Caenorhabditis elegans: one gene and its partners. The protein of the gene in region 1 interacts with the protein of each later gene in a pairwise test. Each region holds a gene or a part of one and is shown in the gene's direction. Other genes may lie near its edges. The genes, in order: figl-1, T04C9.1, smo-1 and itsn-1.

Region 1 (6,943 bases):
GTATCGCAAGTGTAGGTCATGACTTCAACACAAGGTTTCACCTCGGTCGCACGGATAACAACTCCCTTCATGGAGACCAAGTGCCCGATCTCGGTGGCTTTGATGTTTCGGACACACGTTTCATGGGCGGCATCGTCCGTTGTGAAGTAGACCTCGAAGCGTTGAAGGAGCTGTGGTGGGTATTTCTTGCGTTTGTCCTGAAGAGAAACTTCCTCGTTGGCGGCTCCCTCGTTCCTATCCATATGAAGACGCTGGAACATGTAGGCATCAAGAGCATCGATTACTGGCGCTTGCTTGTCTCCGAGATAGTCCTGGATCATATCCGAAATTGTGTCCTTGAACAGGACTTCGTATCTCTTTGTATTGGAAGTAATGGCTTCTGAGAGTTCAAGAGCATCTGGAATATCAGATTCCTTAATATGGTCAACATTCACAACGATTGCCTGCTTGTCGCGGCGAGCAATTTCAAAGACTTGATCACGATATGGGAATGCCTAAAAGTTGAATTTAAATACTCATTTATACACCAAATTCGGGAATACCTTTCCAGATCCGTCCTCATTGTCCACATAGTATTCGTCGAAGAAACTGCGAATTTTCGTCTTCTCGGCAGCCCAGTCTGTGTTGTAAGTGGTGGTTTTCATGGTGAGTGAGATTATAGGATTATAGAGCCGGGCTGAAATGATGGAAATTTTATTTTTTAATTGGAAAAACTGAAAAAATCGCGAAAAAAGCTGCTCTTGTAGCACAAAACCGATAATAAATGAGCGAGAGAGTGAAGGAATGTGCGGCAGATGGCAGCGTCGTCCGTTCGAATTTCGCGCGTTTGCCTCCTTCATGTCGTTGCGAGACCCACCAGAGTGCGAAAGTCTATGCGCCTTTAACTTATATTTTTCCGACATGGACTGTGCCATTTTTAGCTGTTTTTAAAGAAAATTGTTCGTTTTTTCATTGATTTTTGGTTGTTTTTAGATGGAATTAATGTTTATTTTAATTAAAATTGGTAAAATAATTGCTAAAATCGATAAATTGCTGCAGAAACGACAGGCAATTCTGAGAAAAAATGTTTTTTTTTGTCTCATCAGTAAAATTGTGGTTTTTCTTGGTTTTTTGTTAGTTTTTAGATGGGATTAATGTACATTTTAATCGCAAATTGTAAAATAGCTTTTATAATTTCGAAAATCGATAAATTGCTGCAGAAACGACACATTTTTTGTTTCAAGAGTAGAATTGTGATTTTTCATTGATTTTTGGCTGTTTTTAGATGAAATTAATGTTTTTTAATCGCAAATTGTAAAATAGCTTTTCTAATTGCTAAAATCGATAGATTTCATTAGTAAAATTGCGGTTTTTCTTTGTTTTCTTGTGCAAAATTAGTCGCTTTTTTCCAATATTTCTTTTTTATTCATGTTTTTCAGAAAATGGTCGCCTGGAGAGCCGCTGGACTCAACTACGTGCGTTACTCGCAAATCGCTGCCGAGATCACCCGCAAGTGCACCAAGCAAGTCGGAGGAAAGGCCGCTGTTAAGAAGCCAGAGGCAACTCTCAAGGTGATTAAATACGCCTTATTATTCAAGTTTTAACACGAATTTTTCAGATCACCACATGGGAAAATGGAAAGCAGCAAAAGTAGACAAATGATCGCACAACAGTATTCGAATAATTCCATTTGGATACATTCCATACCTTTCTTCTCTCACTTCCGATTGTTTATGATTTATTTTATTAGACGATATAAATTTTAAGCTCAATTATTCCTTTGCCTTTAAGTTGTTCAAGTTACCCCAGTCTTTTTGAATATTTTTTTGTGGGGGTTTTCAGGTCAAAAAACACTATTTTCAGATTATGTATTCTCCAAAACGGGTAAAACTCAATGTGACCAGTGGAATGAGAAAACGGCCCGAAACCGGCGAAAATAACGATGATCTTTACCCACCGACGGCTCTTGCTCGCAATGGGATTAGTCCGTATTTTATCGGAAAACCCCGTCGAAAAATAGTCGTGGAGACACCTTCGGATTCAGCTCAGCAGCAGCCTCCATTCAAATCTCGTTCTCAACAAAATGGTCTGGATGACGAGCTAGACGGGATAATAATTGATGAAGACGAAGATAGAACCGTTGATGTGTCGTTTTCACAAAAACAAGACACCCGGAAGCTCAAAAGTCGACCGTTTCTTGGCGAGAAAAGCAGCTTCAAACTTGGCGAAATTCCGAAACCAAAGGAGGAAAAACGCCGAGAAGAGCCGTTCACAATGCGAGGCTTCGATTTTGGAAGCGACGATAAAGTGACGAAAATCAGAGACAAAATCTGCGATATAGTGGATCCTACAAATGCTAGAAGAACTGATCCGAATTTTATTCGGCAAATGCATGAAAATACGCTGAAAGGCATCGAGGTGGCTTCAAATCCGCACTTTAAGAAGACCAGGTTCGTTAAGAGATCACGAAATTCTGAGAATGCGTATTTCACAACATATTTGACGCGCAAGATATCTCGTAGCGAAAAAGAAAACTACAGTAATTCTTTAAATGAAGCGCTTGTGTCGATTTACGGGCTTGATTCTCGGAAAAAGACACATTTTTCGAATTTTGATAGCGATATTCAATTTTTCTTCGTTTTTTTCCTATTCCTTTATCATTTTTGTGCTTATTTTTAATATTTTTTTTCCATTAATAAATTATTTTAATTGAAAAAACTCCAATATTCGCGTCATTTTGATGATAATACTCTAATACTCCACAAGCGTTTTTTTAACACTATTTCCCGTTTATTGCCGTAATAGGCGGGAAATAATATAAAAATACGCCTGTATGAGCTTACTCATCAAAAAAACGCCAAAATTGGAGTTTTTTGCAATTAAAGTAATTTATTAATAGATAAAATATTAAAAATAAGCACAAAAATGACCATGGTATTCGAAAAAAAAACGAAGAAAAATTGAGTATCGCTGTCAAAATTCGAAAATTTTGTTTTTTTTCCGAGAATCGAGCCCCCGTAAATCGACACAAGCGCTACAGTAGTCATAAAAAGAATATTTTGCGCGTCGAATATGTTGCGCAGTACGCATTCTCAGAATTTTGTGTTCCCGTAATATTAATCGATTTTTTTAAAAATGAAAGCGTCGTTTCAGAGCACCTACGAAAAACCGAGCAGCTATCCAAAATACCCTCGGAACCCTCTATCCATCATTTACGACTGCAGCCGGCCAGGATCCACAGAATAGCAAGTTCCAAGTGCCTCTGGATCGTCAATCCAGTTCCCAATCGATTGGAAGCTTGGCAGGGATACCACCGGCCAGAAGAGCACCGGATATCCCGAAACGATGCTCCAATCCGCTCATCAGAAAGGCGATGGGAATGGATACGGAAGGAGGTGGAAAAGATGAAAAAATGAGTGGATTGAGAGCTGAGCCAACGCTAAAGCACTTTGATGAAAATATCATTTCATTGATTGAATCGGAAATTATGTCTGTGAACAATGAGATCGGATGGGCTGATGTTGCTGGATTGGAAGGAGCGAAAAAAGCATTACGGGAGATTGTTGTACTGCCATTTAAAAGACCGTACGTTCTGAAAGGAGAAAAAAAGGGTTTTTCGGGTTTTTAGCTTGCTCAGACTCATAAAGTGCTCAAAAATGGCTGAAATTGGTTAAAATCTCGTTTTTTGTCAACTTTTCCACTTTTTTTGGTGGTTTATTTCACATTATTTTGTTGACGTAGGTACACTTAAAGCCGATAGGTGTTTTTAATTTAATTGTTTAATTTTTTATCGACTTAAATGAACCTAAATTGACGAAAAAATGTGATATAAACCACCAAAAGATGCTAAAAAGGATGATAATTCAATAAAATAGTGTTTCAGCTGATGCGGACAGGAAAAATAGACGAAATTCGAGATTTTAGATAAAATTAGCTATTTTTACGAGGTTTTGAACGCTTATTTTGTGCTTTTAGTCTATACACGCAAAAAAACCTCCTTTAAAGGTGGTGTAGTCGAATTTTTTATTGCATTATTAGACTCAAAATTATCTGAAAACACCGAATTTTATGATGAAACTACTTGGAAACTTCTCAAAAAAAAGTTATGAAGGCTTAAAAAATGTCCTAAAATTAGTTAACATTTGAAATTTGACCGACTTGTCAATGTCGCAGCGGCTGGAAACAATTTTTTTTAAATCACCGTCAAATTTTGAGTATGTAATGTAATTATCTTGCGTTTTCAACTTCACTTAGGTATTTTAAAGTCGATGGACGGCGAGATTTGGTAAAAAAAAACAATTTTAATCTCGCCGTCCATCGACTTTAAAATACCTAAATCGAGTTGAAAACGCAAGATAATTGACCTGTATACTCAAAATTTTACGGTGATTTCAAAAAAATTGTTTCCATCCGCTGACAAGTCAAATTTCAAATTTTAACTAATTTTAAGCCATTTTTTGAGCCGTCATAACTTTTTTTTGAGAATTTTTCAAGAAGTTTCATTATAAAATTCGGTGTTTTCAGACAATTTTGAGTCTAATAAAGCAATTTAAAAAATCCTCCAAAAATTTAATTGACAATTATAATTTTTTTCAGTGACGTCTTCACCGGAATCCGTGCTCCACCGAAAGGTGTTCTTCTATTCGGACCACCAGGAACCGGAAAAACAATGATCGGGAGATGTGTCGCTTCCCAGTGCAAAGCCACTTTCTTCAATATTTCAGCATCGTCGTTAACCTCAAAATGGGTTGGAGAAGGTGAAAAGCTTGTTCGTGCTCTGTTCTCAGTTGCTCGTCTGAAACTTCCGAGTGTTATCTTCATCGATGAGATCGACTCGTTACTATCATCCCGGTCGGAATCGGAACACGAATCTTCACGGCGCATCAAGACAGAGTTCCTGGTACAGTTGGATGGTGTGAATACGGCTCCAGATGAACGGCTTCTTGTATTGGGTGCCACAAATCGGCCACAAGAGTTGGATGAAGCTGCTCGTCGACGCTTCCAGAAGCGACTGTACATTGCGCTTCCGGAGCCAGAGTCGCGCACACAAATTGTGCAGAATCTACTTGTAGGCACGCGTCATGATATCACAAATCATAATTTGGAGCGGATTAGAGAGCTTACAGACGGCTATTCTGGAGCTGACATGAGGCAATTGTGCACTGAAGCAGCGATGGGTCCTATCAGAGACATTGGAGACGATATTGAGACGATTGATAAGGATGATGTGAGGATTCTGAATTAATATCAAACACTTGTGATCGGTGTAATCGCGCTCCACGGCCAATTGAAATTGCCCCGCCTCATAATGCTGGGTCTCGTTAGGAAGAAAAAAAATCCCATTGCTTTTGATTATGCGTTAATATCGAAGCTTCACGTGCATTTTCAAGAATCATTTCGGCATGAAAACCAGAAAGCAACTGAAAATAAATCAAAAAATGCATATAAACGGATGATTTCAGTAAAATCGAATTAAAAACTTGAATTTGCCGCCAATATTACGGTAACACTGAATTCGGAGAATGCGTACTGCACGACATATTCGACGAGCAAAATATCTCGTAGCGAAAACTACAGTGATTCTTTAAATGACTACTGTAGCGCGTGTGTCGATTTACGGGTACGATTTTCGAAACAATGAATCTCGTAAATCGACACAAGAGTTACATTAGACATTTAGAGAGTTACTGTAGTTTTCGCTATGAGATATTTTGCGCGTCAAATATGTTGCACAATACGCATTATATAAATTTAATGTTCCTCTTATACATAACGAGACCCAATGTTTAGCGTTAGAGCGCGATTGCACCTCAATTTAAAAAATCTCATTTTCCTCCGTCCACATAATAAAACACCTCCATGTTCCGAAAATGAACACTTTTCGAAAATTTATGAAATGTCATGCCACAACAACAAACAATTTCGCAACTCTCTCACATGACTGACGAATCTTATTATTTTTTATTTACCATTTGCCGTACGAATTGTCACATTTATTTTCTATTTTTGCACTCGGTCATCATAAAAATTAGATAAACACTCGAGCTCTGAAACATCAAATGCTCCGGTTTTAATCAACTAATCGATGAAAATTTCAGATTCGTGCCGTTACTGTAATGGATTTCGCCGAAGCAGCTCGTGTCGTTCGGCCAACAGTCGACGATTCTCAATTGGATGCCTACGCGGCTTGGGACAAAAAATTCGGTTGCCTTCCACCTCCTTCAATATCCCGTTGAGACCTTCAGAATTGAGCTGTCGAATATGTGTACTATAATTCCATCCACTTCTTCTATTTATTTATTTTTATTTTCATTGAAATCTTCTCCTGTATTATGCATTCCATCTCTTTTCTATATTATGATCTCAAAACGATCCGTATTTCATTGTTTTTTTTTATATTTTTTCTGAAAATTATTATATATTTTCAATTTTTAAACATATTTTTCATTATTCATTATTGAAATTTCAAGGTTTATTTTACCTTTCTCGTATATTTTTTTAATTTTTTTATTCAAATTTCTAGCTTTTTACCATTGCCAGCCAAAAAATTCCAGAATGCCAATTCAAGAAATCAAGTCAGGAGAGGAGGTTGCTGCGTTCATTAAGGAACCATCTCCAGCTGTTCTTCATTTCTACGCATCGTGGGCTCCAAGCTGTGAGCAAGTTAATCAGCTACTGGATGATTTGCTCGCTGAAATTGCTCTGCCGCTTCGTGCCGCCTTCATTGACGCTGAAGCTTTGCCCGGAATTTCGTTGAATTTCAAGATTACTGCTGCGCCGACGCTTGTATTTTTTAGTGTAAGTGAGCAACGAAAAAACAAGAAATTGAAATTTGTGAAAAAAAACAAAGAAAAGTTTCGATTTATTCTGAACTTTTTTTTAGGAAAAAAGTCATTGAAAAACGTTAAAAACCACTGAAAACCACATTTTGAAATCATTTTTTCGTTAAAATACCAACAAAAAA
Region 2 (4,695 bases), on another chromosome or scaffold:
TTACTACTTTTTTCTATCTTTTTCTGCTTTTCATTCTCTTCAATTTTTCGCGGTCCCATCTCTTCCGCTTGTGACGTCGTCAACTTCTTCTTCTTCCCCTACTTCTTCCTCCGTCGCCGCTGTCGTCGTTTTTCTTTCCTCTTCATAATCGCTTTCCGTCGACCACTCGAATATTCTGACGTTCGCCGTGCCGCGACTCATCCGTTCGTTTCTATGATTCGAATTTTTTGAGAAAAACTAGAAAGCGTTGATATTGTCAAGTGTTTCGTTTTAGGATATATTCTAAAGACGAAAGGACGGATGCAAGTGTGTGTATGTATTTGTGCCATTGCAATGACGAGAGCGGAGCAAAGAAAATGACGAAGAAGAAGAAGCAGTCCTTCTCTTCGCTCATTCTTCTACTGCTCGTTCTTCCCATATATACTCATTCCCCCCGGAGAATTGTTCTTTTCCGCATTGCTGCTTCCCGTTGCCGCTGTCGTCGTCCGCCTTTCCTTTCGATTCGAATCGGATCGACAAGTTCCAGACGGCAAGAGTCATCCCTTCCATCCATAAACGCCATCACTGTCGTCGTCGTCGTCGCCTTCTTCTTTGAAAAAATGAGAAAAGCTAGAAAAAATGACGAATTGTGTTGGAGTCCTCGTCCTTCTCCTCTGCCTCTCCTTCTTTGGCGATGGCACACAACAGCATGGCCACAACACAAATAACGCGATAACTTTGTTTCGGCTCCTATACAAATTTGGTTATTTTTGTTGGTCGCTCCAACATTTTTTTCGTCCTCATCCGAGCCATGACTTCTCTTCTCCTTTTCCTCTATTTCGTCTCAAACTTCCGTTCTTTTTTACCTAATCATCATTATTAGCCCCATCCTTATCATCTTCTGGAACCCACATCGTCATCTTCGGTTTCTTTCTTTTTGAGGCACAAGCAACAACTACTTTTCTCGCATCTTCTCTCCTCCAGCTTCTCTTCTTTATGAGCCGGGTTAGGGGCTCTTCGAAAATTGTTTCCACTCGGCTGCCTTCGTGTTTTCGACGTGCCCGAACTTGCTCAAAACCGAAGCTCACGCATCGTTAGGTAACGAAAGAATTACACGTAGGAGGGACGCACTGCCGTTTGATTCTTATCTGTCATCGTCAGGATTGTTGCAACCTCTTCAATCCTCCGGATGTGCGTTGATTCCCGCACGATTAGACAATTTGTTGTGAAGGTGTACGCTATGTTTTGTCGTAAAATAGGTCACACTTGGAAGTTTTATTTTGGCAGCTTCATAATTATTCTAATTTATGATGTGATGGATTTTCTTTTTATATTTCATTTATCTGATTACCTTTCTCATTTTCCATATCAATTCTTGCTCGGTTCATCAGCTAATTCCATTGGTAGTGTCAGAATTCATGTAGCAGATAGATAGATACTCATAGATATTCCTTCGTCGCCTCAAGTATCAAGTTTCTTGCTTCTTTTTCTTCTTCTTCTTCTCTTCGCTTGTCCATATCCCCCGCGAGTTCTTCTTTCCTTTTCTTTTAATTGTTTACTTCTTCTCCTCATTCTACTCATCTTTTCCTTCATGTTTCAGAAAAAATTGTGGTATTTTGAGACAATTTTTTCTTTTCATTTCTCTATGTTTGCCTATCACTGAGGCTTTTTCTCTTGAAAATCTCTGCAAATCATTCCAATCAAAAATAATTTCAGGACACCTTGTCCAGTAGACAAAACCCGTCTACTTAGGACTCTGCGCTCATCACAAATGGTGTTACGGGCGCTCGAGTTTTCGGACTCGATATCCGATTCTCCGTGGTTTCGACAAAATTTGCATGATCACGAAGTGGCACTGGACGACGCTTTCAAGAACATCAAGCTCATTGAGAATCAGTGCAAGGAGCTGATTGCGTGCACAAAAAGTATGTGGCTTTTCTCTCTTTTTGACCCTTTACTTTTCCATTTAATCGCGTGGAATTTATAATTATTTTTATTGCAGAGCTTTCAACAGCACAACGAGCATTCGCAAAGACGTTAAGTGAATTCAAGTTTGAAACAGTCGGAACAAATCAGACAGATGATGAACGGTTTATTGGTGAGACTTTTGTTTAGCAAAAATTTATATAAAAAAATACGCGATGTTAAAAAAAAAAGTACAAAACATTTTTATTTTAAAAAAATTTCGCAGTAAAAAAATTAATTTCGGAATTTTATTATCCAGCCAAGAAAAATCGAAATTTGCTGAAAACATGTTTTTAAATGTTTTAAAATTATTAAATTTCAATTTTTTTTAATTTACCATAGTTAAAAAAAAATTTTAAACATTTTTAGGAATAGCAAAAAAGAGTATTTTGCCGTAGCAACCGTTCATTTTTGCCAAATTTTTCAAAGTCATATTTTTTACAATAAAAAAATAGTGTTGAACTCTCTTTTAAAATTTTTTTAATTGTCTCGAATTTCAATATTCCAACAAAGACCTTCGAAATCTGAATTGTTCGTGAAATTTTGAAATTTTTATAAGTTTCCTTCAATAAAAAAATTCGTTTCAGTTTTTTCTCCCAAAAAATCTATCGAAAGTTAACAAAATCCAAATTGCAAGTGATTCTCATTGTAATTTACCAAAATGCTTAATTTTCATAAATATTTTTATTGTCTTTGAAATAATATTTCACATTTTCAGCCACATGTCTAAAAGAATTCGGAAGTCTGATCAATCAAGTCGAAGATGAACGAATGAAACTTGTTGGACAAGCTGAAGAAAGTTATTTGGAACCAATAAAAAAGTTTCGAACTGAGGCGATTGGTAGAACATTGAAAGAGGAAAAGAATAAATATGACAAAGAAAGTAGCAAGTTCTATCAAACACTTGAAAAACATCTTCATCTGAGTACTGTTCGTAATAACGATTTTCGAGCCGCTGATGCCCAATTGGAGACTCAACAGAAAAACTTTTTTCAAGCTTCGTTACAGGTTTGAGTTTATAAAGTTGTCTTCAAATTATAAAATTGGAAAAAATTTGTGTTTTAATTTTCAGAATTAATGAAATTTTGGCCATTTTCTATTTTTAGACTAAAATTTCTTTCTAAATTTTTTTTTGGAAAATCGAAGGAATTTTGGTTTTTCGAATTAAAAAAAATCAACAAAAAAAATTTTTTTTCTGAAATATTGCGAATTTAAAATTTCTTTCAAAAAAAAAAAAACTTTCTGCCTTTTCAGAATTTAAAAAAATCAAAAGTTTTCGTTTTTAGTTTTTCTAAATAGTGTAATTCAAGTTTTTAAGAATTTGCCGTTGGAAATAGTACAATATAAATTGCTATTTTCAGTTAAAAAGTATATTCAACATAATTTCTCAAAAATAAAAAATAAAAAAAATTTACAGTATGTGGCAGAAGTTCAATCAGTTCAAGAACGAATGCGGTTCGAGTTTGTCGAAACATTAGGATCTTATGTTTATTCGTGGCTTTCATTTTTTCATGTTGGTAAGTATTTGTACAGGTAAAAAAAAGTTTCTGAATGATTATACAAATTTTATAAATTTGAATATTTTTCACAAAAAAAAATAGAAATTACTTGAAAAATCAGATTTTCGACAACTTTGTCTCGATTATAATTTTGAAAATAAAACTAACTATTTTAAATCACAAACTTTTCTATTTCACTTACAGAAATTCGGATTTCATGTAAAATTTCGACCAGAATGAAAAAAAAATTAAAAATTAAACAAAAATATATTTTTTCATTTTTTTTCTATAAATTATCGAAATATCATCGAAAATGAAGAAAAAAAAATCAAACTACTCACAAAAAGGCATTATTATTTTTAAATTTGGTTTCCAGACACATCATTTTTTTTTGCATTTTTCTAAAACTTTTTCCTGTTTCAGGTAGTGTGATTCATCAAGATTTCAAACCATTCCTTGACAATGTACAAACAAAAGTTCAAAAGGTTAGTTTAAAAAACTCTCCCCGTCAGATCGAAATTTTATCGAATTTCAGACAAAGGAAAATTATAATGCAACGAATGCTGAGGCAGAAGAGCTTAAGAAAAAACTGTTGGCTTCTCATACAAAAGTAAGTTTTTTCATACTTTGGAATTTCATATTCATCGCAAATTTTTATTGAAATTACAGCCGGGTTCTGAAGATCGACGACCGACGCCATCAATTAAACAAGGATACGTGTATATGCAGGAAAAGAGCAAAATTCCGAGTAAGTTTCTATATACAAAATTTGGTTTATTAAAAAAATTCAAAATGAAAAAATGCATCTGAAAGTTCTCGATTTTAGAAAAAATCAACCAGAAAATTATTATTTTATGAATAAAATATTCGGTTTTCACAAAATGAGAGCCTCTTTTAAAAATTAAAATTTTTCGTTCGATTTTGTTATTTTTTATAAAAATCTAACTAATATTTTCAAAAAATAAATTACCAGTTTCAATTGTGAAAATCTTTTCCAAAAATTATTTTCAATTTTTCAATTGGCCTGAAATTTGAAAATTTCACTAAAAAAATTACTGAAATGTGGTTTTAAATTTAGAAAAAAATAAAATGATAGTAAAGAAAACAAGAGACTTAACAGTTTTGTAGCGTTACAGTAACCACTTTGAAAGATAATTCACAATTAATTTTGCAAAATTAGGACAAAAATTTTCGATGATAAAAAAATTAATTTTAAGACTTTTGAAAGTCGATAATTATAAATCGCTATAAG
Region 3 (2,920 bases), on another chromosome or scaffold:
CACAGGCTACGTTTTCTCCTGTATTTCCCTATTTTTCATCGCGTTTTGCCTGGAATTGCTGAAATTCGGAAGGCAAAGAATGACGAGAACTGTGAAGGAAAAATTGGTGATTTTTTGTTAAAATTTTATCACGGGGGTTCTGGCCTTCCTCATTGAATTTTTCGCGCTCCATTGACAATCGCCTGCCGGACGGGAAAGTCGTGTACTCCACACGGACAAATCACATTTAGTTTTTCAACTAAAATTGAGCCGCTACGCGCCGCCAGATATGGCCGAGCCAAAATGGCCTAATTCGGCAAAAACTCTTCCATTTCAAATTATGAGGGAAGCCAGAAACCCGTGTTTTATTTTTCGGGAATTCCTGAATTCCAAAAAAAAAATTGTAGGCCGTCGATTGCTGTTGCTCAACGCCTGAAGGCATTTGGGAGATTCCGGAAGAGCCTGAGCCGTCGCCACGTGGCAAACTGGCATCGTTGGCTCCGTGAGTTGGCTTAAAATATTCCAGGATACGAAATTCCGAAAAAAGGTGATAAATTGCAGATTTACAATGGAATCCATCTCAAGTTGGAGACATTTTGCGTCTTCTTTTCTATTTTTTCTTCAAAATTTTGTGGATTATTCGTTGATGCTGGTAGCAATGACATATAATTATCCGCTATTTTTCTCGCTTTTAGCAGGTTTTATTTATTTTTTTTTTTTTTTGAATTTTTAGAAGAAAAGCTTAAAATTCGTAAATTTTAGGCCACGCCATCGGATATTTCTTCGTTGGCCCGTTGATGACGGTTAAGGAGGTCGAAAACACTGGAAATTGCTGTTCTTAATTGATTTCATAAATATGTATAAAGCATTAAATTTGAATATATTTTTAATAAAGAAAAATCGATATTCACATTAGAGCGCGCTTGCAATTTCACGATGAGACCTGACGATACCGCGCGAATTAAATCGATCGCTTTTTGGCCTAAAATGCTCATTAACAATTGTTTTTGTAGTTTTTAGCTTAAAATTATATTTTAAAATCCAGTTTGCCTTGTTACATATTGGAAAACGGTATTTTTAGAGTTTTTCCTCAAAAACCAAGCGAAAACCTTGAATTTTGTTCCGAAAACTTGTTCAAAACATTTTTTTCGTTGAAAACTCAAATAATTCACCAATTTATCTATTTTAGGCCGAAATCTCTTATTTTTTCAGTCCAAAAAGCACCAAATTTGGTCAAAAACCTGTCCAAAATCTACCGTACCCTCGTGTTGCTCGTGAAATGCGGTGCATTGTGTGCAAACACCGCGGCGTGAACATGCACACTCTGCAACGCGGGAAATCATTTCGAAAAGGTTTTTAGGCGCGTATTGCCCGATTTTTCGGCTCATTTCGTGTGTTTTCATTTATTTTTGCCTTCTTTCTCCGGTCGCGATGCGTTTAATTAAGTTTTGCTTCTAAATTTCGTCAATTTCGCTGAAAAACCACGTAGAAAACTTGATAGGAACTGGATATCCTAAAAAAAAGGATTTCCTTGAGAAAAATGGGTTTTTTTTCTGAATTTCGCAGTGATATTCTTGAAATTCTCAGCGCAGCGCTCCCCAGACAATCGATATTCCTAATTTTTCAAGCATCTTGTGGCTCAGCCAGCTGTTCTGTAATTATCGATTTTATTTGTTACAGCGTCTATATAAATACCCTAGAAAGTCATCATTCTGCACTCTTAATACCTTTCACTCGTGTGAGTTGCATTCTCCATAGCAACTCTACCTCTCTCCTTCTATCTCTTTTTCTCTTTTCAAATCTAATTTCGTTTCAGAGACTCCCGCTATAAACGATGGCCGATGATGCAGCTCAAGCAGGCGACAACGCCGAATACATCAAGATCAAGGTCGTTGGACAGGTAATTTGACTGGAAATTCGCCGCGAATTTGTTAATAATTCCCAAAAAAATTGCAGGACAGCAACGAAGTGCACTTCCGTGTAAAGTATGGAACCTCTATGGCCAAGCTGAAGAAGTCGTACGCTGACAGAACCGGTGTCGCCGTCAACAGTCTTCGGTGAGTTTTGGAAATCCGCGCCAATTCCTATCAACTTTAAATATTTGCAGTTTCCTCTTCGACGGACGTCGCATCAACGACGATGACACACCGAAGACGCTCGAGATGGAGGACGATGACGTCATCGAGGTCTACCAAGAGCAGCTGGGCGGATTCTAGTCCTCTACCTACACTCTAATCCGAAAACAAACACCCATCCATCCCTTTTCCACTGAGATACTCGGTTTCTCTGTCTCATTTAATCTATTTTCCACATTTCGAATCATATTATACAACCAAAAAAGTTTAAAATAACTTATTTATCTTACAAATAAACTCTTCGTTTTCGGAAAATCCCAAATTTTTAAAAATTAAATTTTATTTTACATGAAAAAATAACACAGTAATAGTAGTAGGAATGATGATAAATTAGAATCAGTAGACAAAAAATCACTTGGACAAGAAATCAGAGACACGAGATTCGATGACCTTCTCCGTCCATTCGCCTCCACTAGCCATGAAGTTCTCGATCTCCTCGACGGTTCGTGGAAGATCGCTCAGATTCTCGTTACCAGAAGCACGAATGATGACGTCATCCTCGATACGGACGCCGCCTGATCCGCGGTACTTGTCGATTTCGGATTTGACGAGGAATTCGCTCTTTTTCGGGTCGGCGAGCGCCTCGTTGAGCAGGAAATCAATGAAATAGCAGCCGGGTTCGATGGTGATTGCCTGGAAGATATCGATTTTTACGTGAAAATTCGGAAAAATTGAGGTTTTCTGGATTTTCCAGCTCCGCGGGGCTAATTTTTCTACTTTTCGATAAAATTTCGGCATTTTGCATGCTTTAACAGCTCAAAACTCAAAAAATTATCGATTTTTCCGAAAAATTTACTCCCGTGGGA
Region 4 (7,595 bases), on another chromosome or scaffold:
TCCTCTTCCTTCATAAATTTGACGTATACGTTTCCGACCATGTGTTCTCCGATATTCTCACAAACGTTGATCTCCTCCACTTCTCCATATTTTCGCTCCATCTCCACAAAAACCTCCTCGTAGAAATCGTCAAAATAGCGCTGTTCCTGATCATTCCGCTTGCCGACTTTATCGAAAGCATCCGCCTGACGGACATCCACTACCGGATTGTGGTAGAAGTTTTTGAGCACAACTGTTGGCGAGAATGTCGGTGTATGATGGGCTCTGGAGCATTTGTCTCCGTGGCGGCAGGCTCCTGTCTGCAAAAATTATTTAATTATTGAATTTTTTCACAGAAATCCACAACAAACCTTGAAGAAAAACGAGCAATTGACTTTATCCTTCTCAGTACCATAGATTGAGGCCAGGTACTCGGCTCCGGAGAGCCCGTCACCATACGACATTGGGATTCACTAAAAAAAATGATTTTTGACGAAAAATTCAATTTCAGCGGGAAAACCCTGAGAATTACGATTTTTAAACACAAATTCTGACGGAAATACTTCAGAATACAACGTAAAACTCAAAATATCAAGAATTCAATGCAAAAAACAAACTGCGAACCTGAAACAGATAGAAAATGGAAATAATAACCAACTGCCCTGCTAAATTCGAAAACGCAACGAGGCACGCTTTTGTGGGCGGGGCGAGCGTCGGCAAGGTGAGCGCGCGCGTTTTTCTAGCGTTTTCTCTATTTTTCTTTTTTTCTCCCATGACCAGAGATTAATAAATAAGTTGAAATTTAAGTGAATTTCTCTTCAATTTTCCGCGATTATACCGATTAATTCATGCACCAAGGCTGAAAGAACATTTAAAAATCAATTGGAGCTCAAAATTATTTGGAGAAAACTCAAGAATACGAGATTTTTCACTCTAAAACTAAAATTTGTTCTTAAAATGCAAAGTTTTAAATGAAAAAAAAAACATTGATTTTTTTAAATATATAAAAAAGGGGTTTTTGATTCCTTTAAAATTCTCTGCGTCTCTTGCATCTCTCGCCGCGCGCTCTCGGGGACCACTCCTCTTTTGGGGCACGCAAAAATCGATAAGCTTTCGGCGGCGCTTGGCCTCTTTCTTATTTCTTCTTATTTCTCAGTTCCTGAATCCAAATTTACAGAAATTTCGGCGCATTTTCTCTTTTTGTTGCGAAATTCGCATTTTTAGCGTTTTTAATCGAAAAACCCCCAATTGACAAATCCGTGGGAAGTTTACATAGAAATTTCCAGCTAAATTAGGGAAAAATCACGAATTTTAGCCAAAAAATTACATTTTATTGAGCCGCCTCGCTCGCCGGCCGCGCCGCGCCGCGGCCAATTTTTACAGAAATGGCCGAGAGGGAACCTAGGCCACGGCCACGACCGCGACGCAGCTGGCGAGCGGAGCGGCTCAAAAAAATCTATTGTTTGCCCAAAAACATGTGTTTTTTCATCATTTTCGCTGATTCTTCGCATAAATTTCCAGTTAAATTAGAAAAATATGGCTCGTTTTTTCCCTTTTTTGTTGCGAAATTCCCATTTTTTGTCGAAAAATCCCCTGTTCTCCAGATGACAAATCCTTGGGAAGTTTCCGATGCCGAATATCAGAAGAATTTCGCAATGTTCGGCCAATTAACCGGAGGACAACCGTTTATGGATGCGGTCACTGCACGAAATGCACTAATGCGCAGCAATCTGCCAACGCAAGTGCTTTCTCAGGTTGATATTAAACTTTAAAAAAAAAAATGTTTTTATTCAAACAATTTCCAGATCTGGGCGCTGTCAGACTTGGATAAAGACGGCCGGCTCGATATTCGTGAATACTCTATCGCGATGCGACTTGCTCTGAATTGTCTTGCCGGAATTCCGATTCCTCCGCAACTTCCGCCTTCCCTGCTGGTAGTTCCCGCCAGAAATGCTCCACCAACCTGGCCTGGAAGCCGGCATGGCAGTGTAGACTACTCACAAACTCTTCCACCGGCCATTGATCGTCGAATGTCGCAGTCATACATCCCATCTGCACCGGTTTCGATTGCCGGAACTCCATCTAGCAGACACAACTCGATTTCAGCTGGAAGCCCTTTGAATAATGATCGCAATGTCTTCGAAGGCCGGCAGCTGGAAAACTGGGCGATTCCTCACCACAATAAATTAAAATATTCTCAATTGTTTAATGCTCTCGACAAGGAACGTCTGGGCTCCCTGAGCTCACAAGTCGGACGGAGTGCTCTCGGGCTTTCAGGCCTTCCTACCAATGTTCTCGCGCATATCTGGTTTTTGTCAGATGTGAATAAGGATGGAAAGCTATCAGTGGATGAGTATGCGATTTCTCAGTATATGATTGAAATGTTCAAAGTATGTGTTTTGTTACCGGCCAGAAGCTCTTTATTCAAAAATTGCACTTTTTCCATGAAAATCCAACTTTTCTGATCTAAAATTGATATAAAAATGTAGAAAAAGGTTCTTTCCATCTGAAAATATTGTATTTTTCATGTTTTTTCAACAAAAATAAGGAATATTTTCAATTTTATTTGTCAAAAACTTGGAATTTCAAAATAAAAAGTCAAGCCACGTGGACGCTCCTCCCACTTTGCAACATGCGGCGCGAGTTTTCGCAACACTGCCGCACGGTTGTATTTTCTTCACGAATTATAGTTTTTCAGTGAATTTTACAGGATTTTTCAACGTTTTGCTTGTTTTTTTCAGCAAAATTTCATGTTAAAACGCTGAAAAATCTCAAAATTTCAAATTTTTCTGTACGAAAATCGGAAAATACCCTAAAATCATGAAACACCATAAAAATTTCCGCTGAAAAACTTAAAAAAATTTTTTTTTCAGAGTGGATTCGCGCTTCCAAAAATAACCCCGCTGGAACTTGTCCGGATGTGCGGAATCTCATCAAGATCAGCCAACAATACCCCTGAACTCGAACCAGGAGCGGAGCCACCACAAAAGTCACCAGCTCCGAAAACTTTTGAAGATAAGCGACAGGATAACCTATCTAAAGGTCAGGCAGAACTGGAGAGACGACGTAGAGTTCTTGAAGAAGAGGAGCAACGAAGACGAGCAGAAGTAGAGAAGAAAGAGAGAGAAGAAGAAGCGAAGAAAAATAGAGAAAGACAAGAAAAGGAACGACAGGCTGAAGTTGAGCGGCAAGCTGAACTAGAAAGACAGAGAATAATTGAAGCTCAACGGGAGGAAGAGGAGAAGAAGCGGAGGCTAGAGATGGAGAGACGCAGAGAGGAGGACGAGAAAATGAGAAAAGTTCAAATGGAGAAGGCGAAAGTTAAACAGATGCAGGTACAGATGCCTGAACAGAAAAAATGGAATTTTTATGTGGATTCTAGGCGATTTTTTGAGTTTTTCTTTTGAAAATTGAACTTTTGGAACACAGAAATTTTATTTACTCATGATAAAAAAAAACCAAATTTAAATCCCTAATTTCAGAACCAGAAGCAACAAGAGAACGAGCGTCTTGCACAACGTCAGCAACGAGAAAAAACGCTGCAATTTCAATTACAAGCACTTGATGAGAAGGTTATCGATGTTGAAGTGGACATTGGAAAAGCCAAAGAAGCAGTAGCAGAAGTGACTGGATTTATTGAGAGAATGAGATCTACGAGAGACGAGAAAGTCGCGAGAATTAAAGAATTACAAGAGACTAATCAGAAGGTAATACGCGTTTAATCTATATGCAAATTACCCAAAAAAGTTCCAGACAGCTATCGAATCTCAAGAACTCGGCCATCAGCTTCTACAAAAACAGTCGGCTCACAAGGAGACAACGCAGAGAAAAAGTGAACTAGAAGCACTGCGAAGGAAACGAGATGCTATTCGAAAAGCTATAGAAGATGCCGCTCTGGAATTATCCACAGAAAAAGAGAAATCGTATAATCAGACGGAGATTTTAAAGACGAATAAGGAAAAGTATAAGACTGATGTTTATTCGAAACTTGTCGCAAAACGAGAAGAATATCGAAATTCGTTTGAGCTTCTGGTTCATGCTCAGACACATGCCAGGAGCAAAATTGGGGAATTTGAAGCGAAATCTGCTCCAGCTTCAGCTGCTCCAGCTCCTGCTCCTGCTCCAGCTCCTACTACCACCAACGGATTCCCTGCAAACTTCAACGATGCATTCGGAGAATTCGATAAAACCGATGCAAGTCAACGTTTCGACGCGGATTTCGGTGCCACGTCGACAGCGGATCCATTTGCTCAGATTGCTCAGGCGCCAGCTCATTCGAAGGGTGCTGTTGATCAATCGGCGTTCAATATTCATGACACTTATAAGTGTCGAGCTCTTTTTGCGTTTGAAGCAAGATCCGAGGATGAGCTCAGTTTTGAACCAGGTGCTGTCCGAACAGCAATATGTCCCTTTAAATGGCCTTTTGTTGTGTAGATTTACGAGCTTCTCCGGAAAAAGCTCGAAATTTCGGAATTCGTAGGAGAAAAAGTTTGGCATAAAATTCAGGAATTTTTAAATTTTTCCAAAAAAAAATCTGAAAAATTGCAAAATTCCACTAAAATCAAGGAATTTATCTAAAATTTTTAAGAGTTTTTCCAGAAAAAAAGCCAAAAAAAAAGAAAATTTCAATTTTTTTATTCTTATCTCTCATTTAAAATGACTTATTTAATATTTTTGAAATAGTTGCATGGAAAACAAATTAAATGCATAAAAGATGTGAAAAATTTCAGAAAATTTGAATTTTTTCGAAAAAAAAAACTGAAAAATTGCAAAATTCCACTAAAATCAAGGAATTTTACTCAAAAATTCTCAAACTGAGCTGAAAATGATTCCAAAAATTTTGAAATTTGTAGGAGAAAACGTCCAAAATTCAGGAATTTTTAAATTTTTACGAAAAATTATTGGAAAAAAGAACTATTTTTCCGCAGTTTTTTCAAAAAAATTTTGAAATTTTTCAAAAAGTTTGGATTTTTTCGTTTTTGGCAACAAAAAAAACCATCACTAATCAATGTTTACCTAAAAACCCCGTTTTTGTGAAAAAAAAACCCTTTTTTTCCCAAAAAATACCAATTTTTGTCAGAAAAAACTTAACAAAAAGTGTCATTTTTGACAAAAAAAAGGCAAAAATTCGAGAAAAAGTTAATTTTTATTTATTTTTCTTCTAGGAGACGTCATAATCGTCTTCCAATCCCATGCAGCTGAACCAGGATGGCGTGCCGGTCAACTTCGTGAGAAAGTCGGATGGTTCCCAGAAGCATTCGTCGAAGCAATCGCAGCAGTACCTACTCCAGGCGGTGATCCACCTATTCAGAATATGCCACCAAACATGACGCCGAGCTCATCAGTAGATCAAATTGGAGTGAAAGCGGCGCGGAAAGCGGAAATCGCAGCGGCAATGGGATTGACAGAAGGTGGTGCTCCACCTGCTTCAAGTGCTCCAGCAGCAGCAGCAGTAATATCTCAATGTATTGCACAATTCCAATGGAGAGCACGTAATGAGGAGGATTTGTCATTTGCAAAAGGAGATACAATTGAGGTGGAGAGCATTTTGCTGCGAAAAATCCAAAAATTGTCTGAAATTCTTGAGCTTGAACCTGAAAAAAATGAGATTTTACAAGTTTTCCGGCAGAAAATTTGAAAAATTTGAAGTTTTAAGCCAATTCTTAGGAGTTTTCAGCCTATTTTCCTGCAAAAACAGCTTGAAAATGTGATTTTGACGAATTTTTGAAAAAAAAATTGGATTTTCGGTGAAAAAATCGATTTTTAATCTATCTTTCAGCTAAATTGTATGATTTATAAAATAACCTTTTTTCCCAAAAAAAACCATTTTCCCCATAATAACTCTTTTTTCTAAAAAAAAACCTGTTTTCTACCAAAAAAAAACCCATTTTTATCAACAAAGGAACCCAAATTTTCAACAAAAAAAACCTTTTTTACCCCAAAAAAACCTATTTTTCAGCAAAAAAATGAGCGTGGTTTCTGGGGAATTTTTCCAAAAATTTGAAAAAAAATTTAGGATTTTATTCCCATTTCTTCTTTTCACGATTTTTCTTGAATTTCAGACTATTTTTTTTAGATTTTTGAAGGTACACCTTAACTCGAACTAATAACATTAATTTCAGGTACTAGAAAAGCAAGAAATGAAATGGAAAGGTCGAAATCCTGCCGGCGAAATTGGATGGTTCCCGAAAAGTTATGTGAAAGAAGTCGGAGCAACCACCAGCACCACGACTCCGATTGTGTCTCCTTCGAAGGCTTCTGCAGGAGCTCCAGGAGCAGCAGCAGGAGCTCAATACGACGTGGTACCTTCCGATGTGACATTACAAGCCTCCGAAACAGCCCCCCAACAACAACTTTACACTGTGATCTACGATTTTGAAGCTGTCGAGACAACAGATTTGGCACTGCATGTCGGTGACACAATTCTAGTGCTCGAGAAGTAAGTGGAGAGAGGAGCTCTCGCTGCTCTTGACAGGAGCTCATTTGGAATTGAATTTTTTCATTTTTTTGATAGCTTTTCGTATTCTTGCGCTATTATTATTATGCTTAAACGAAAGGTTTCGGGGTATCAATTTATTACATTTTGAACCAAATAAGCCCAAAATTTTTAAAATAATTGTTTCCAATTTTGCAAGGAAAACCCTATTTTTGGCAAAGTAACCTCAAAAAACTATTTCTTGTCCAAAAAAACCTTTTTTTTTTCAAAAAAGTCTAATTTTTGTCAGAAAAAAATCCAAAAATGTGTCGTTTTGCCAAAAACACCAAAAAAATTCCATTTTTGCAACAAAAACAGCTAAAAAATACATTTTTCCCCAGAAAAAAAATCATAAAACTCAGTTTTGCCAAAAAAAAAAACCAAACACGCGTCATGTTTACCAATAAAACTTTTTTTGTTTTAAACCGATTTTTTCAGAAAAAATCCAAAAGTGTCATTTTTAACATTAAAAAAACCTAAAAAGCTATTTTTTCAAAAAAGGCACAATTTTTCTTACTTTTGCCAAAAATGTGTCATTTTCGTCAAAAAAAACCCTGAAAAAAAAACAATTTCCAAAAAACACAATTTTTACCGAAAAAAAATTAAATTTAAAAACCAAAAAAAGCATATTTTCTCAAAAAAATTAATTTCTCCACAAAATTAAAAAAAAGCCCGACAAAATCCAATTTTTGCAAAAAAAAACCGAAATACTCTTTTTTTTCCAAAAAAACTTCATATTAAAAAAAACCCCAAAAACCCAAAAAACTTGTTTTTTAGCCAAAAAAAAATTACTTAAAAACTGAAAAACTGACACCAAAACAAAAATATCAATTTTCAGTGATTTAAATCAAAAAATAATTTCAGAAACGATGAATGGTGGAAAGGGCGTTGCAACGGACGTGAGGGTATCTTCCCAGCCAACTATGTCGAGATATCAGTCCAGCAGGCAGGGGATCCGACTCCACCAACTCAAGCTCCAACTCCAGCGGCTCCACCAACCGTCCTCTGTGAAGCTAAAGTTGTCGTGGATTTTGTTGCATCGGCGCCAAATCAATTGGGAATCAAAGTTGGCGAAATTGTGAAAATTCGTGAAAAATCAGCAGCCGGCTGGTGGGAAGGCGAGCTGATTCGAAATGGAAAA

Evidence for each region.
Region 2: the proteins of figl-1 (region 1) and T04C9.1 interact in a two-hybrid assay, tested with the Caenorhabditis elegans proteins (2 studies listed by BioGRID).
Region 3: the proteins of figl-1 (region 1) and smo-1 interact in a two-hybrid assay, tested with the Caenorhabditis elegans proteins (3 studies listed by BioGRID).
Region 4: the proteins of figl-1 (region 1) and itsn-1 interact in a two-hybrid assay, tested with the Caenorhabditis elegans proteins (2 studies listed by BioGRID).

What each region holds. Positions count from the first base shown.
Region 1 is NC_003283.11:4,340,899-4,347,841, reverse strand, and holds figl-1 (Fidgetin-like protein 1), read left to right. Parts: upstream 1-1,842; 5' UTR 1,843-1,845; coding exon 1,846-2,429; intron 2,430-3,132; coding exon 3,133-3,564; intron 3,565-4,575; coding exon 4,576-5,206; intron 5,207-6,077; coding exon 6,078-6,215; 3' UTR 6,216-6,411; downstream 6,412-6,943. Other genes in the region: mcm-7 (DNA replication licensing factor MCM7), read right to left, coding at 1-494, 543-644; hpo-18 (ATP synthase subunit epsilon, mitochondrial), read left to right, coding at 1,422-1,550, 1,598-1,633; glrx-3 (Glutaredoxin 3), read left to right, coding at 6,535-6,777. UniProt on the Caenorhabditis elegans protein: Has a role in spindle assembly which acts in the progression through mitosis during embryogenesis. Required for fertility.
Region 2 is NC_003281.10:5,991,524-5,996,218, forward strand, and holds the start of T04C9.1 (Rho GTPase-activating protein 26), read left to right. Parts: upstream 1-1,695; 5' UTR 1,696-1,750; coding exon 1,751-1,904; intron 1,905-1,981; coding exon 1,982-2,077; intron 2,078-2,662; coding exon 2,663-2,952; intron 2,953-3,361; coding exon 3,362-3,461; intron 3,462-3,866; coding exon 3,867-3,928; intron 3,929-3,978; coding exon 3,979-4,053; intron 4,054-4,112; coding exon 4,113-4,191; intron 4,192-4,695. Other genes in the region: T04C9.2 (uncharacterized protein), read left to right, coding at 357-707.
Region 3 is NC_003279.8:1,338,890-1,341,809, forward strand, and holds smo-1 (Small ubiquitin-related modifier), read left to right. Parts: upstream 1-1,788; 5' UTR 1,789-1,813; coding exon 1,814-1,879; intron 1,880-1,935; coding exon 1,936-2,036; intron 2,037-2,086; coding exon 2,087-2,195; 3' UTR 2,196-2,376; downstream 2,377-2,920. Other genes in the region: K12C11.7 (Copper transport protein), read left to right, coding at 1-106, 387-481, 541-677, 742-821; K12C11.1 (Xaa-Pro dipeptidase), read right to left, coding at 2,466-2,747. UniProt on the Caenorhabditis elegans protein: Ubiquitin-like protein which can be covalently attached to target lysines as a monomer. Does not seem to be involved in protein degradation and may function as an antagonist of ubiquitin in the degradation process.
Region 4 is NC_003282.8:17,118,101-17,125,695, forward strand, and holds the start of itsn-1 (Intersectin-1), read left to right. Parts: upstream 1-1,581; 5' UTR 1,582-1,583; coding exon 1,584-1,733; intron 1,734-1,784; coding exon 1,785-2,369; intron 2,370-2,852; coding exon 2,853-3,314; intron 3,315-3,461; coding exon 3,462-3,686; intron 3,687-3,726; coding exon 3,727-4,363; intron 4,364-5,144; coding exon 5,145-5,515; intron 5,516-6,101; coding exon 6,102-6,418; intron 6,419-7,318; coding exon 7,319-7,595. Other genes in the region: uaf-2 (Splicing factor U2AF 35 kDa subunit), read right to left, coding at 1-299, 351-443.